Linked DNA regions of Alligator mississippiensis. The protein of the gene in region 1 interacts with the protein of each later gene in a pairwise test. Links are inferred from orthologs where the notes say so. Each region holds a gene or a part of one and is shown in the gene's direction. Other genes may lie near its edges.

What was found.
Region 2: the proteins of MYPN (region 1) and ANKRD1 interact in a two-hybrid assay, tested with the Homo sapiens proteins (2 studies listed by BioGRID). The link is inferred for Alligator mississippiensis from reciprocal best matches to the Homo sapiens genes MYPN and ANKRD1.

The regions. Positions count from the first base shown.
Region 1 is NC_081829.1:54,651,595-54,659,070, forward strand, and holds the start of MYPN (myopalladin), read left to right. Parts: upstream 1-4,471; 5' UTR 4,472-4,526; coding exon 4,527-5,446; intron 5,447-7,476. UniProt on the Homo sapiens protein: Component of the sarcomere that tethers together nebulin (skeletal muscle) and nebulette (cardiac muscle) to alpha-actinin, at the Z lines.
Region 2 is NC_081829.1:68,335,664-68,343,034, reverse strand, and holds the start of ANKRD1 (ankyrin repeat domain-containing protein 1), read left to right. Parts: upstream 1-4,368; 5' UTR 4,369-4,426; coding exon 4,427-4,453; intron 4,454-6,134; coding exon 6,135-6,314; intron 6,315-7,371. UniProt on the Homo sapiens protein: May play an important role in endothelial cell activation. May act as a nuclear transcription factor that negatively regulates the expression of cardiac genes. Induction seems to be correlated with apoptotic cell death in hepatoma cells.

The DNA.
Region 1 (7,476 bases):
TCCCAATCTTCTCTCAAGACCTGCAACAGACCTCGTGGCCGGTGCCCTAACACTAGTTCGAATGGCGAGAACTTCATCGAGTCCTGAGGGGTATCCCTTAGGGTAAACAATACTAGCGGGAGGAGGAGATCCCACTTTCGGGGGTCCCCCTGAATGCAGCGCCGCAACACCCATTTTATTGTCCCGTTAAGGCGCTCCACTAGGCCATTAGTCTGGGGGTGGTAGACTGAGGTGCGGAGTTGTTTTATTTGTAACGTTCGGCACACGGCTCTCAAGACTCCAGACATGAAATTCCTCCCCTGGTCTGTTAATATTTCGTGCGGGATCCCCATCCTGGAGATCCATTTTACTAACTCCTCCGCAATGCGCGGGGCGGTCACCGCTCGCAAGGGGATGGCCTCTGGGTATCGGGTGGCATAATCCACCATCACTAATATGTATTGGTGCCCTGAGCTACTACGGGGAAGAGGTCCAATGACATCTAGGGCTATCCACGAGAATGGGGTGTCTATGACGGGCATAGGCTGGAGGGGTGCCCGTGCCGGACGCTCAGTTCTCATCTTCTGGCACTCGGGGCAAGCTGCACACTGGCGGGCCACTTCCTCCCCCATCCCGGGCCAAAAGAACCACCAGCTTATCCTCGCAAGGGTCTTGTCCCATCCAAGATGCCCACCCGTGAGGCTCGCGTGTGCTAATCGCCAGATGGTTTGGTGGAATCGGGTGGGTACCACTAATTGGGAGTGTAAGGCCTCCCTCCACCACTTCCCTTGCACGCGGTAAAGGAGGTGGTTCCTTACCTCGAAGTAGGAAGGCCCTCCTTGCGGCGGTGCTGGGATGTCTTGGGGACCCTGGGCGCACTCCTGCAACTCCCGGATCTCTGGGTCCTCTGTCTGAGCCTCCCGAAACTGTAGACAGCTGGTGAAGTTGTTGAGGTCTAGCTCGCCCGCCTCATCCGCCAATTCCTCATCCTCCTGCATTTCGCCCAGCCAACCTTCGCAGTCTCGGATCTTTCTACGGGCTACCTCAGTGTCCCTTACCCTGTCCAAGACATCGTACACAGGCACCCAGTCTCGCCCTAATAACATCTCACATGCTAATCGCGGTACCACCCCAACTAGGAGTTCTCCTTGATGTTCCATCACCCTGAGGCGAACCCACTGGCGCTCGACTAGTCGGGACTCCCCATGGAGACAAGCTATCCTCACGGGGTGGGCCCCCTGCCGGCCCTGTGGCCCTACCAGATCTGACCTCACCAGTGACTAGGCACACCCTGAATCCAGGGTCGCTTGCACAGGGCGACCCTCCACCCAGGCCTTCATGACTGGGCAACTCCAGGCTGCATTCTCCTCCCCGATCGCATAGCTACAGTCCATTGGTTTGCCCGATTCCGGACCCCTCCGTTTTTCGGTTGAGGCTCTCGACCTGTCGGTAGGGATCCAGCGCTCCACCGCTTGGTTTGGGCATTCTCTAGAAAAATGGCCGTTACGGCCACACCGGAAGCACACGGTTTCCCTGGTAGCCCCCCGACTCAGCGGCTTCCGGCGCTCCGGCTCTTTGGGGCTCCCCGGGAAGTACCCTGGGCTCCGCCTCTCTCGAGGGTAGCTGGCCTCCGAGACCGTGAACGCCTCCGCCAGCTTTAGGGCTTCATTGCAGGTGCGTGGGGTGTGCTGCCGGACCCAACGTTGTGTCCATTCTTCCAGGTCGTTTTGGAACTGTTCGAGCACGATTTGATCTGCCAGGGCTTCTCGGTCCTGTCCGGCTGGGCTCACCCACTTATCTAGCAGGTCCCTCAATAGTTATAATAGCACTCTGGGTCATCTCTCGTCAGACCCCTTTTTGGCCCAGAATAGGTGACGGTAGTGCTCCGGGTTTATTTCCAGCCTGTATAGGATGGCCTGCTTCACTAGCTCGTAGTCCTGGGCATCCTCTCTCGAGAGGGCCCGATAAGCGGCCTGGGCCTTGCCAACGACCAGGGCGCCCAACTGGCTAGCCCAACAGCTCTGATCGAGCCCTGTCATGAGGGCGTGCCGCTCAAAGGCTTCAATGTAAGCTTCCGGGTCGTCATCTTTTGGGCATCTTAAAGGAAGCTAGGCCATGCCGAAACCAATCTTGTTGCCTACCCATCATCTGTTGTTGGGAGTCCAGGATCTGAGCTAGAACCTGTAGGTTCTGCCCCAGGACATCGACGGGGCCTGTAGCCGCGGGTTGCATGTTGGCGTAGGGATCCACGTTGGGGTCCTCCATGTTCCCGGCCAATGCACCACGTTGTGCCCGCCTCCGCTCGACCAGGCGCTCCCGGGCTGCTCTAGCCCGGGTGGCCGTTCTCGCTGGCCACAAGCTCACGAGAGGGCCCCGGGAGGTGCCTCGGGTGGTGACGGGAGGCCCCCTAACCTCGCCTGCCACGACTTTGAATGTAATCTCAGTGGTGGGGGTCTCCATTAATGCTGCCTCCTGGGGTCGTTGCGCCTTCGGCAGGCACTCACGGGACTCCGACCTCCCCTACACCCCGGCCAATCGCCACCTGCTGCTGCTGGTCTTCTAGTGGCCTTCCTCAGGGGGCCCCGGCGTGTTTCCGGTCCTGTGCCTCCCGGTGGTCCCCACTCCAGAGAACCAAGCTTCCCAGGCTGGAGTCCGCCTTGAGGGTTTCACACCCCCTGATTCCCTGCTGCCCCTAGCCTATACTGACCCGAGGCCACTGCAACACAAAATGAGAGGAGAGCCTAAAGGAAAGCGAACAACAAAACAGAAAGTCGAGCCCTTCTATCACGCCTAGCCCGGAATCTGACCTGGGTGCCTAAGCCCCGATCGACAGGCTGCCCTGGCTCAGAGTCCGTTGGGTGGCTTAAGGCCACCGACTCCCCCGGGAGTCTACTCTCCAGGACTGTGGCTCCAGCTCTCTGGGAGCCTCGTATCCGGCGTTCACTCCCTTGCCGGTCCCACTGCCGGTTCCTCCGCCGGCCCATCTGTCAGCTCTCTCGCCGAGTCCGCTGCTGGTTTCCTCACCGGCTACGCTGCCCGCTCCTTTACCGGATCCTTAGCTGGTTCCTTCTCTAGTCTTGCTGCCAACGTCGTCTCCACCTTCTCCGTCGGCTCCTTTAAGAACACAGCTCTCTCTGCTGTAGCTGCAGCTTTCTTCGCCGGCCCCTTTAACGGTGCGGCTCTCGCTGCTGCAGCTGCCGTTGCCGACGTCGCTGCCGTTGCCACGACTTCCCCCGTTGGGCTGGGTACATGGGCCCCGCGGGCGCGGGTCCCGCTCTTGGGGTTCCCTGTGGGCTTTCCCCACTTCCCTTCTGGCCCCGCTTCCAGGGCCGCCTTTTATCTCTGCCGGGCAGCGTCTCCCGCCGGCGTTGCCCGGCCCCAGCTGTATATAAGTGCGGCTTACAAACTGCGCTGGCAGTCTCGTCGCGCACGTGTCCCTGCCTGTCCCGGCCTCTGCGTGGGGTAAGTAAATGGTTACTTCCCCCCTGGTTCGGCCCCGGGGTACCCTTCTAACCCCAGCGTCCCTGGGACACAGTGCATTTAATTATGGTGCCCATGGGTGTCTTTACATATGATCCAACATCACGTGTATTCAGTGTCCCTCACTTCAAAATGGTGTCAGGGGCACTTTAGCTAAAGTTGTTTGACAAGTTTTAGTTAAAGCACCCCTGCTGCCATTTTGAAGCATGGGGATGCTAAATACATGTGACGCAAAGGCTACTGGAGACACTCCAGCAGACTTGATTAATCGAGTCTGTTCCATGTGCTAATTAGCACGCATTGAAGCAGGCGTCCAGTACATCTGTAGGTGCCCCACGACTCTAAGAAAGGGGTTTAAGTAGCTAGTAACACAAAGGACGATCAAGTTGAAGTATACGATAGAGGTCCATTTTTCTTTATTTTACATATTTAATTTACAAAATGAGTATCCTGCATCATCTTATCCACAATGTAAGATGTTCATAATTTGGCACATTAATTGCACACTGAGAATCTGAGTAAAGTGTACTAGATGTTGTACCTGCATTTTCCTGTAATGCAATATCTTTTAGGAGTTTTCAATGAAAAATTATTTTGCATATTTTTATCTCCTCAAGATGATTTTGTGAGGTCAAAAGATTTATTGTCTCTCAGTGATGTGCAGATTAAATTTCCTCAATTTAAAAGTATTGTAATTTTCCCCTGATTGCCAGTTCTTCATAAGTCTTTCTGGCTCTTACATAACCAACATTTTGCAATTTTAACTGAGTTACAATTCTGTTTATGGTATGTTACCTGAAATAGAATACAAGAGATTATTCCAGAGCCTCTTTAACTCTGCAAGACTGCCAAGAGTAAAAAGTAATAAAAAATATTTTACCTAGTAAAGTTGCATGTCTGAACCTGAATATACACAGAAGCAACTTTATTTAAAAAGAAGGGGCCATATTTGCAGCTAATTTTCAGCATGCAAGGGCACTTAAAACACTGTATTCTGCTTTTCAGAGGCCTATATAACTCTGTGCTGTTGATGAGGCGTGGTCCTATTTGTCCTTTCTGTTGACAGCATGCAAGACGACAGTTTAGAAACTTCTACTTCAATATCTCAACTTCTGAGAGAGAGTTATTTAGCTGACACTAAACATCAAGGGAACAGTGAAAGAAGTAGATCAGAACCATCTCCACACACTATCCATTATGGCAATACTTCTGGGAATTCAGATGAGGTAACTGCCCAAGATGACCTTCCAGATCTCTCTGCCTTTCTGAGCCAAGAAGAGTTAGATGAAAGTGTAAATCTGGCAAGACAAGCAATTGATCAGAATCCACCTGAAAGTAAGCAGGATGAACAACTGACATATTATCCCTCTGATCAGCTGAAAAACTCTGTGAGAAAAGTTTCAAATAAACAAGTGGCCCAGTCTACAGCTTTGCCAACTTCAGACAATGCTCTGCACTCAAACTTCTGTCATGATCATGTCAGTGGTTCCAAGAAGAGCTCTCAGGATCTAAAGAAACAACAGCTTCCTTCTGAAGCTGAATCAAAGAAAGAATTCCTAAATAAGGCAGCAGATTTTATTGAAGAGCTTTCCTCACTTTTCAAAGCACATAATTCAGAAAGAATAAGACCTAGAACATGCAAAAACTACAGGAGCAAACTTGATTCTAAAAACAAGGATGCTCAAAAAGGTAGCTCTAGTTTCCCAACTCTATCAGAAAACAGAGAGAGACTTTCTATTCCAACACCTGAAGACTCTGACAATAACTCAGAGCATGCACTTGAAAAAACAGATGATCAACAAGAGGCAAACTCTGAAGCTATGAATCAATTGGCAAACACGGAGTCAGCACCTACATCCTTCTATTCTGATGAGCCTATTGGACAACCACCACGCTTTACTCAGAAACTGAAGAGCAGGGAAGTTCCTGAAGGAACCAAAGTGCAATTGGACTGCATTGTAGTAGGAATTCCAGCACCTGAAGTCAGGTAAACATATTCGACTCTTGCCATTTTGCATTATGATAATGGTAGGTATATGCTCCACCGTGCTAAAATATATTTTATGGTAATTTATAGAAGCAATTCTTGGTTTTTGGTTATTACCATTGACTAGAAATAAATCCAGCTGTCTTCTTTAAACTATCCAGAAAGTTATTGCCATTTTAATTTAAGACATTTAAGGACAATTTTTCCTTTAAATTTTAGAGCACAGTTGTTAAAGAGGCAAGTCTTCTGCAATTAAATCGCTGAGAAAGGTATTTTCAGCTTGTTCACTATGAAGATTTGCTCAGTTTCCATAAAAGAAATAATCTATGTTAATGATGATGAGTAAGAAGTAAGAAAACATTTAAATTGAAAATGTACAGGATTGCATAAGCAAGAGACTTTTTAAAATTACAAAATACGTATATCAATAAGAGATTAAAAATCCCCGCAGAGCCAGAAACACCTCAATACCAATCCAGATTCTGGCAATGATTCCTCACACTTAACTTTAGTTTCTCCATCTATAAATGTTTCAGTTAGTCACTGTTTCCACCTGCAGCTGGGGAGATATTGATGACTAAATAGGAAGTGATTGTAAAGATTTTTGGAAATTAAATATAGGTCGGGTGGGAAACGGATTATTAAAATTGTCACTTTTATCCTGGAATTCTCAGTCTTCACTGGTATTTCTAAACCTAAAACTGTTAAAATATAGATTATAGGGCATTTTTTTCTTTCAGTTATGTTGGTGTAACCATATAGACTTTGATGAGGTTGTGTCAGTGTAAATACAAGGAGAATTTGATTTGTCTTCTAAGGAAATGCTATTTACTTAATTTTCTTATTAATAACTTTAGTATTTTAAAAAAGTAGGTTAGTTGCCTACAGTTTTCTTAGATAAATCTTAGTTGCCTTCTAAAATATATTGAAGGGCCTTTCTTGTGCCTTCAGAGTTATCATTCAACACTAGGTTTATAGCTTCCCTAGTAAGTGTCATCTTCATCAAATGAAAGGCATTCAGAGATTTCTGGGGTAAAGAATTTGTCTTCTGTGCTCTCAGTCTCACTCCCCAGTGGTTGCTATCTCTCAGAAAGAAGGAGTCCTGGCAGTATGATCCTCTGTTAAGAGGAATGGAGTGAAGAGCTACAATTCCTTTTGTTTTGGCCAGTCTTCAACTATGGAAAATCCTTCTAAAGAGGACAAAAAGAATTTCCTCCATTTATGAGAAGCCATTCTAAATGGAGATTGTCAGGCCATTTTTGTCCCCATTGAGCCTATGCTCTCAATCCCCCAAGCTAGACCATGATTTATAGTATCACAGTGAATCTTTTGCCAGATTTGTCAGTGACAGGAATGTGAATTTCCTCCAAAGGATCTGTTAGCTGTCAATAGAAGAGGCATGGTGTTCCTAAGCTGAAACTGAAGGAAAGCATCTTACTTGGGGGCAATAACCTTCCAGCATGTTTGTTTCTTACTCAAACTCTCTGGTCTAATTAAGAGTTTGGGGGAGGGGAGTCTTTTCTTTTCTTCATAATCTGGTTGTTGCATTTATGTCATCCAAAATGCTAAACTGAGTTCAGACCTCTGTCTGGTAGAAGAGAAACCTGCTAGAAAGGAGAATAATAAAAGGAAAGAGATTTTCCTGAAAACAGTAGAATGGCTATACTTCCAGCCCGTATATATTCGTTTCCTGTTCTGAAGAAGTCTCTAGCTTCTAAAAAAAGGAGTTTTTGCCTAGACATTAGAAGCCATTTTTCCCTCTTGGATGCAAACTACCATCTTGAACTGGAATACCTACATTTAGTTTGAGAATGTTTTTCTATTCTAATAGAGTTATTCTGAGTTAAGTTACACTGGTGTAAGTTTAAATAACACCACTGCCTTCAAAAGAAGTGGCTATTGCACACATAAATGTTGTTAAACTGGGCTCTTTTTCTGATTCCTAAGACTGTATTAAGTTAGTAGTAAAAAGAGTAGAAATGACTATAGAAAGATCATTGCAAAGTGTTTCCATTGTAAATGCATAGTAG
Region 2 (7,371 bases), about 14 Mb from region 1:
TAGTTGCATTCCCCTCCTCACCCCCATCCCTTTTATGTTTCAGAGTGTCCGACCAAGGGACTATTTCCCGTATGGCTTTGTCATCTTTTTGGGTTCGTGATTCTTAACATTTACTAATAAAATTCAATCACTTTTCAACAAATAAGTTTTCATACTAATCTATACTAAATTAGGAGTTGTAGAAAGACACAGAGAGTCATGGAAATGGCCTTGTAGAAGGCACATGGCTAGGGCTGTGCAAAACGGCACCATTCCATTTCACCTTGAGTTTTGATAGAACAGTATTCCATTTTGAATTTCATTTAGAGTCAAAACAGTTGTTTCATTCCATCAAAACAGAAAGGCTGTTTTGACATTTTGCTGGGGATGGGAAGTCAGCTGGGCTGACTTCCCATTCCCCGTGCTAGATCGTGCCGGGGGGTCGGAGGCAGCCCAGCTGGGCTGACTTCCCATCCCCAGTACTAGATCGCACCACAGGGTGGAAGGAACCTGGGCTGCCTTCCGGCCCCGGTGCAATCTAGTGTTGGGAATGAGAAAGCAGCCCAGCTGGGCTGCCTTCTTCCCCCTGCCCTGGTGCGATCTAGTGGCGCGGATGGGAAAGCAGCCCAGCTGAGCTGTCTTCCACCCCCAGTGCGATCTAGCACCAGGGATGGGGATCTAGTGCCCCCTGCCAGATCTTGCACTGGGGATGGGAAGTCAGCCCAGCTGGACTGACTTCCCATCCCCAGGCTATGGTCAAGATGTTTTGACTTAGCCTTGTTTTGTTTTGAGGCTATTTTGACAGTCTTTGTTTCATTCTGATTTTGCTGTTTTGACCTTGAAATTGGTCAAAACAGTGTCAAAACGAAATGGTCGGTGATATTTCACACAGCCACCATCTTTGAAAACAAGAGCCAAGAGCACAGGTTCTCAGTATAAATATAGCTTCAATATGATGACTGCATTGAAAACATGATAATATGCTTCATGCAACATGGAAATATCTTGTATATAATGTATAAACTTTTTTTTTCATTCTGCTAGAAACTATTTAATAGTTATTTAAAAATAAATCCTTACAACAGCCAAATATCTTCTCAAGGAGTAGCAAGGAATGTAACTACTACTTATTTCTACATCCTGTTGATTTTACTGCCCTTCATGCTTTTTGTTACAATCTTGGCTGTATTCAACTGACTCGCACATTGCAAACCTTTGCTCTGCCCATAGCAGTTTGACCTGTGCTCTCCAGAATTCCATTACACATGCCTATCACTGACCACCTGCTATTATTAACTTAAAGTAGATATGGGAAATCAGTGGTTGAAAGATGATTAAGTAACTGTAGTGCACCACTAGCTAATGGATAATTGTGCTACTTCCCCTAAAATTGGAAGATGGGGATTGTGCTAAGGACCTTGGCTCAAGTCTCAGCTAATATAAAACAATGTAACTTTTCTGATGCCAAGGGAACAACACAGACAAAATTATAGTTTCAATCATTAAACACCAACTGAATTCAGATTTTACACTCAGCCAGCCTTTGTTTAAATCTGTCATCCATTACTGCTATTCAGGCATCTTAAACATTACAAATATTTATTTTTCTCTATTCCCTCTAGTCATCAGGAGCTGGGCTTCTTAAAAAAATACTGACTGTGTTCATTTTCTGTGATGGTACCATAGGAAGTCTGAGTCAAAGTAGTAGGTTTTTCTCTACAGACTGATGGACAAACTCATTTGAGTTCCAGATCAGTGAACCAGTTTCAGGGAAGGCTCCATCTCCCTTGTCCTTCTAATTTAGGACTTTGCTTGCAGAGTTTCATATATCAAGCCCCTTTTAAAGAAATTAAATGTAAAGAAAAACCATGCTTCAAATGTAACAAGATGAGACAAGTTACAGTTTCTTAAGCTATTTTTTAACCATTCTGTCAACATGCCTAACATTTTCCTTCCCATGTCATTCTTCTACCAGCTTCTGCTGACTATGAGGAGGTGCATGTAACTGCAGATGTTAAAAGCTCAAAAGATTATTTCTCTAGTAAAATGTGGTCCACATTGTGAGAGTTTAAGAGTTCCTGGGCACATCTACATGTGCTATTCATGCATTTTAGGCTTACTGCACAGTAAGCCTTCCCAGGGAGCACATCTACATATGCACCCCGTTGTTCCCACTCTGCTCTGCCCCAGTGCAGTAGCCAGGGAAAGCTCTAGACTCCCCCAGATGCTAGTCTGGGGGCTGGCAAGGGACACAGGGGCCAGGGTGGGTGATGATGTGCATGGGGCTGGGAAGACAGCACCGTTGCAGCCAGCAGAGCTCTCCTGTCCCTGTGCACATCAGGACATACTGCTGCCAGCAATGCCCCCTCTCAGGCTGGGTTTCCCTGCCTGGGAGGGGGTTTACTGGGAGCTGTCCCAGGTGTGGGGCAACTGCTAGTGAGCCTCCTGCTAGGCAGGCCCCTCCACTCAGCATGGGGCTGGCCAGGAACTGTTCTGCAAGTGGGGCAGCTGCCAGTGAGCCTTGTGCAGTTCCTGAACAGCTTCCTGCCAAATCGGGGGGGGGGGGGGCACAGGGCTGACCAGCAGCTCCCTTGCTTAGGTTCCCAGTCCCTGCCTGCCCCCAGAGCAGCTTTGCACCACACAGAGCTGAGAACTCCAGAGAGTGAGCGGGGGCTAGAGTTCCTACCTCCACACCATGCAGAACTATGCCAGAGAGTGAGCAGGGCTGGGTTCCCAGCTCCCACTCACTCTCCAGAGCTCTCAGCTTTAGGCTGGGAGCTGGGATTGGGGAAGAGGGGAGAGAGAAGAGAGTTCCCTAGTTCTAGCACTGATCAGCTCCAGGCAGGAGCTGTGCAGCACCAGGACTGGAGACAGAGAGCTCATCCTCTGTGGCCCTCTGGTGCCTAGTTTGACCAGGAGCAAATTTGCTCTTGGTCAGAGTCTACAAGTGCAGTACTGCACAGTTAATTTAGTACCTGTATTTACAGGTACTAACTGTGTAGACTGTGGTGCTTTACTGCACAGATTAATCTACTTTGTAGCAAAATGTCTCATGTAGATGCACCCCATGTTATGTCAGTTACAAACAAGGCAAAGCCAAGCCAAGCTGGCTCCTGTTCTAGTAAACATAGAGCAGGAATACAAATGTATTTTGGAAGCAGATAATAATGCCATGTAGAAAATAACTCTTTTGGAATAACATATGGAGGTATTAGTATTTGGGAAAAGAATTTTAGAAAGGCTGTCCCACATACTCTGTTTTAGCTCTGGGGTTTACCTTCCAATGTCACAAATATTCTAATCAGTAAAGGAAGCACCTGATGTTCAGCTTTGTTTCAGCAAAAGGGAGAGCACAGGGTAGGTATAATGGTGCCTAGCAGATACATTTGAACATACTCGAATTACTAGTGGATAGTTTAGGAGAGGATGGGCACCTTGAAAGGTCAGCATCACAGACACCAATTTACATAAGTAGAGGAGCTTGCCCACATATGGTTTTTCATGGTCAGTAGAAGTTCCTTCTGTCTGCAAGTTCCTCTTTATTTAATATGTATCAGCCTTAATCCATTTGCTGACTAGGTTCTCTCTCTTCTCAAAGTCCCTCAGGCTCAAAAGGAAAATATTGCCTCTGAAAGCAGCAGTGATTTTACTTTTTCAGAAAGTAACTGGATATAATTTACTACTCTGTTTATGACTGGTGACGATTTCCAGGAAAAATGCAAAGCTAGCTGTTTTGAGATCTTATACTGATTGTAACTTATCAGGTCATAGGCCTTTTTAGCACTAGAGACATCATTCTGGTTTAGTAATCCCTTCAGAGAATTCCTTCCAACAAATATAGAAGAGTGCCATCATGATGAGAGAAAGCTTTTCCTCTAAACTGTTTACCATCCAAAAATAGATGGCAATGAAAAGAATGCCTTCCCAAAACTTAAGGGGTCATCCACTTATCAGAAAGACATTACCACAAGTACTCTAAATGGGTCACTTACCCTTTCCGGTGTCTCATAGTCATTTGAAAGTCAGTAAAAAAAAGATATAATGCAATATCAACAGACAGCTGTCCTAGTGGGCACTGGGAAGTTAGAATGACTAGCATTTCTGAGCTATGGTGTCACTGACAAAGGAATGATGATCTCACATTTCATACCAATTCACATATTCAGTGCGGTTAGACAGTGAGACTCAACCTAGCTCCCAACTGATGTCCCCCCTTCTCTCTTGACACTAGATCTGGCTAGTTAACACGCCTGGAATGAAAATGAACCTACCTCTGAGCTGGCAAATCCAAGGGGCATATCTGGTTTCCCAGGTTGGAAGATTATCTCACCCAAGCTAAGTTCCCCAAAGATATATAAGCTAAGATAGGCTGGTGGTCTCAGCAGAGCTGACTTGAGCACTGGGTGTCTTATCCATAAAGGAGTACAACTAACAACAACCAGCAAACATGATGATGCTGAAAGTGGAGGATCTGGTAGGTAAAAGCTGCCTTTGCTCCCTCTCAATTACTGTTATTTCACGATTTTTATTGTAATTAGTCAATAACAGTGTCTTTGTTCATTATTATTACAGGCATCTGTAGAGTGATTGTCACTGCTGAATCATACTATGCTGAAAAGAGCTTGCTTTAAATTGTCCTTGGGGTTTGGGTTTTCCATTAATCTAATGAAACGGTTGACTATATTTTGGATTGGCATACAATGAACCAGGCAATTAGGTGTATACCTTTGATTTACTTGCTTTATTTGCTCAGATGCTGTATTTGTTTACAATTATGCACATGTGTTAACACCCAGTAAAAGATGTATGTAGATGTAGGTATGCAAGATTATCTTAACTTTTAAACCAAAATTAAAAGTTGCTATCTGTTCCTATACAAACTGTTTTCCATGGCCTAATTGACTTCCTGAAAATTAATATCTTAGGCAACAGATAGCTTGAATATTCTTCTTAGTGTTCATCTTAGTCAAATTGGATTGGATCAATAAACTAAGCAAATGTGACAAACTCAAAAGAACACTGGAATGTTGTTTGGAAATTTTTCTTCCTCCCAGAAGAATATGTTAGGATGAAAATGCCATACAGCATAACCAGTTAATGCTAGTTTTAAATTCTTTGGCAAGACCCTTCTGATTTCTACAGTGCTAAATTCTCCACCGCCAAAGTTGTACAACAGCATTTGATATCAAAAACATTCTGGATTGTATAATTTCTGTGAAATATATCCCCAAATGCACTGTGCCTTCACATAACTTTAACATACTCTCTTAATGGAGGTATGTAATCAACCGCAGGAAACATTTTTAGAAACTATGCCTACGCCTTGTGGCATTAGATCATTAGCTAAGGCAGCGTAGCCAACCTGTGGCATCGATGCCACAAGTGGCATGGACAAGCAGATGGGGGAGAAGACAGGCAGCAGAGCAGGAGATAGGGCAGGAAGCAGAAGCAAACCAGAAAATTGGGCAGGGAGCATAAAGCAGAGCAGTAGTTTGGGCAAAGGAAGGGCACCGGAGTGGCACCTGGAGAAGTTTCAGGGCTCATTTGTGCATGCCTGCCAAAAAGGTTGGTTCCCATTAATTTATTTGGGTTACAAAAAGCTACTTCATTCACAGGCAATATGGAACAACTTTTTACTGAGAGGGAGATACCCAAGGTGGGCGAGGGGTACCAAGTCTTTCTACCTTTTACTCCAATGAGTTTATGGAGAGTAGTACACAAGATAAATTAAAAAGGTAAGGTAGAGAAATAAACAGCAAAAAACAAACAAACAAAAGATCAAAAACCCAAACCCTGATTCCAGTTTTATAATGAGACTTATTCTGATATTGTTATTATAGTAGCAAGCAGAACCTAGCCAGAAAGACAATTTATGGCATGCTCTCTTATAGTAGGCCTGATCCACTCAGTGAGAGCTTCTCCATTGACTTCCGAAGTGTTGGGTCAACTTGTGAGTTAGTCCTTTATGACAACTGTCGTAACAGTTTAATTTGGCTTCAGAGTTTGTGAAAGTGTTGGGTCCCCAAGTGCCACATACACTCTTATGTGGGGACAGACAGACCACTTTCAAACAATAAGATGTTCATGTTTTTGCAGTTGGTGGATACTTATGATTCTGTACTGTAGGTTGCATAATATTTCATTCTCTTTTGCAGGTGACGGGGAAGAAGAGTAACAGCAATGAGACTGGAGGTTTCCTACCAGAAGACTTCAAACATGGAGAGTATGAAGCTACTGTGAGATTAGAGAAACAAGAGGATCTCAAGACACTCCCTGAAAACTTACTGGCCCAAAGAGATCTTACCTACAAAAAGGAGAAAAAGCTAGAGGCAGAGGTAGGCTCTTTGGTTTTGTGCTCATTTTTTATCATTATGTGGCAGCTGTACCTGTGAAGCCCTAAAAACTGTCCATGTCTTTTGTTCTGTTCTAACCAATGTATCTTTAATGGTGAGTCTAAAAAATAAAACCTTGACAAACCTCCACCCAGGGAGAACAGAGTACCTGACACTGAGTCCACTTAACCAACAGAAATCATCTCATTGACTTAAAACAGGCTTTCAATCATGTTGCGCTGAAAACAGCATTAGATGCTGCTTCATTTTTCACTTCTAATTAAAGAACCAGAAATTTCTTATCTTCCTGTGGCTAGCTGTACAGTAAGCAAAGGCCTGGCATATCCAATTTGTAAACTTAATAATCATCGCTGGCATCAACCAAACAAATAGCAATTGCAGTTTGGATCTCTCACCATTCCCCAGCATAGATTTAAGAGCATAGTTCTTTCCTGAGGTCCTTTTACCAACCCCAGCCCCCACAGCATGCTTTCTATCACACCATGCAGAAGTAGTAGCCATTAAAATGACTCCTGTCAAAACAAAATGAACAAGTACCTTTTTTGGGATATAGCAGCTTTTCATTCCCCCCCCGTTTGTTTACTTCCTGTTTCACAAAGCACTACAACAGGTCTCCCATTCATCAATGTAAATTAGCAACCTGCCACACTCAACACTTACAGCAGTTCAATTACATTAGAAAAATCCTACTTATTGAGAAAGAATCAGCAGTTTAAACAAAATAGTAGAAACAAGGCTTTTATTTACAAAGGAGGGGTATGTATATGAATATAAAAATATTCATAAGCCCAGAAATTACCCAATTTAACTAAGAGATTATCACTAACCAGAGAATTAATATTTTCAAACTCACTTATTGATGGAGTATTCACAAACATAATTATCAAACAGTTCTTGGGAATTTGATGCCTGACCCATGGCCTACTGAAAGTAGTAGGAAACTTTCCATTGACTGAAGTAGCCCACAAATCTACATTTTTAGTTAGTTAACAGAATGTAATACTGTTGAGTCAAACTAAAACTGGCATGAATCAGGCTA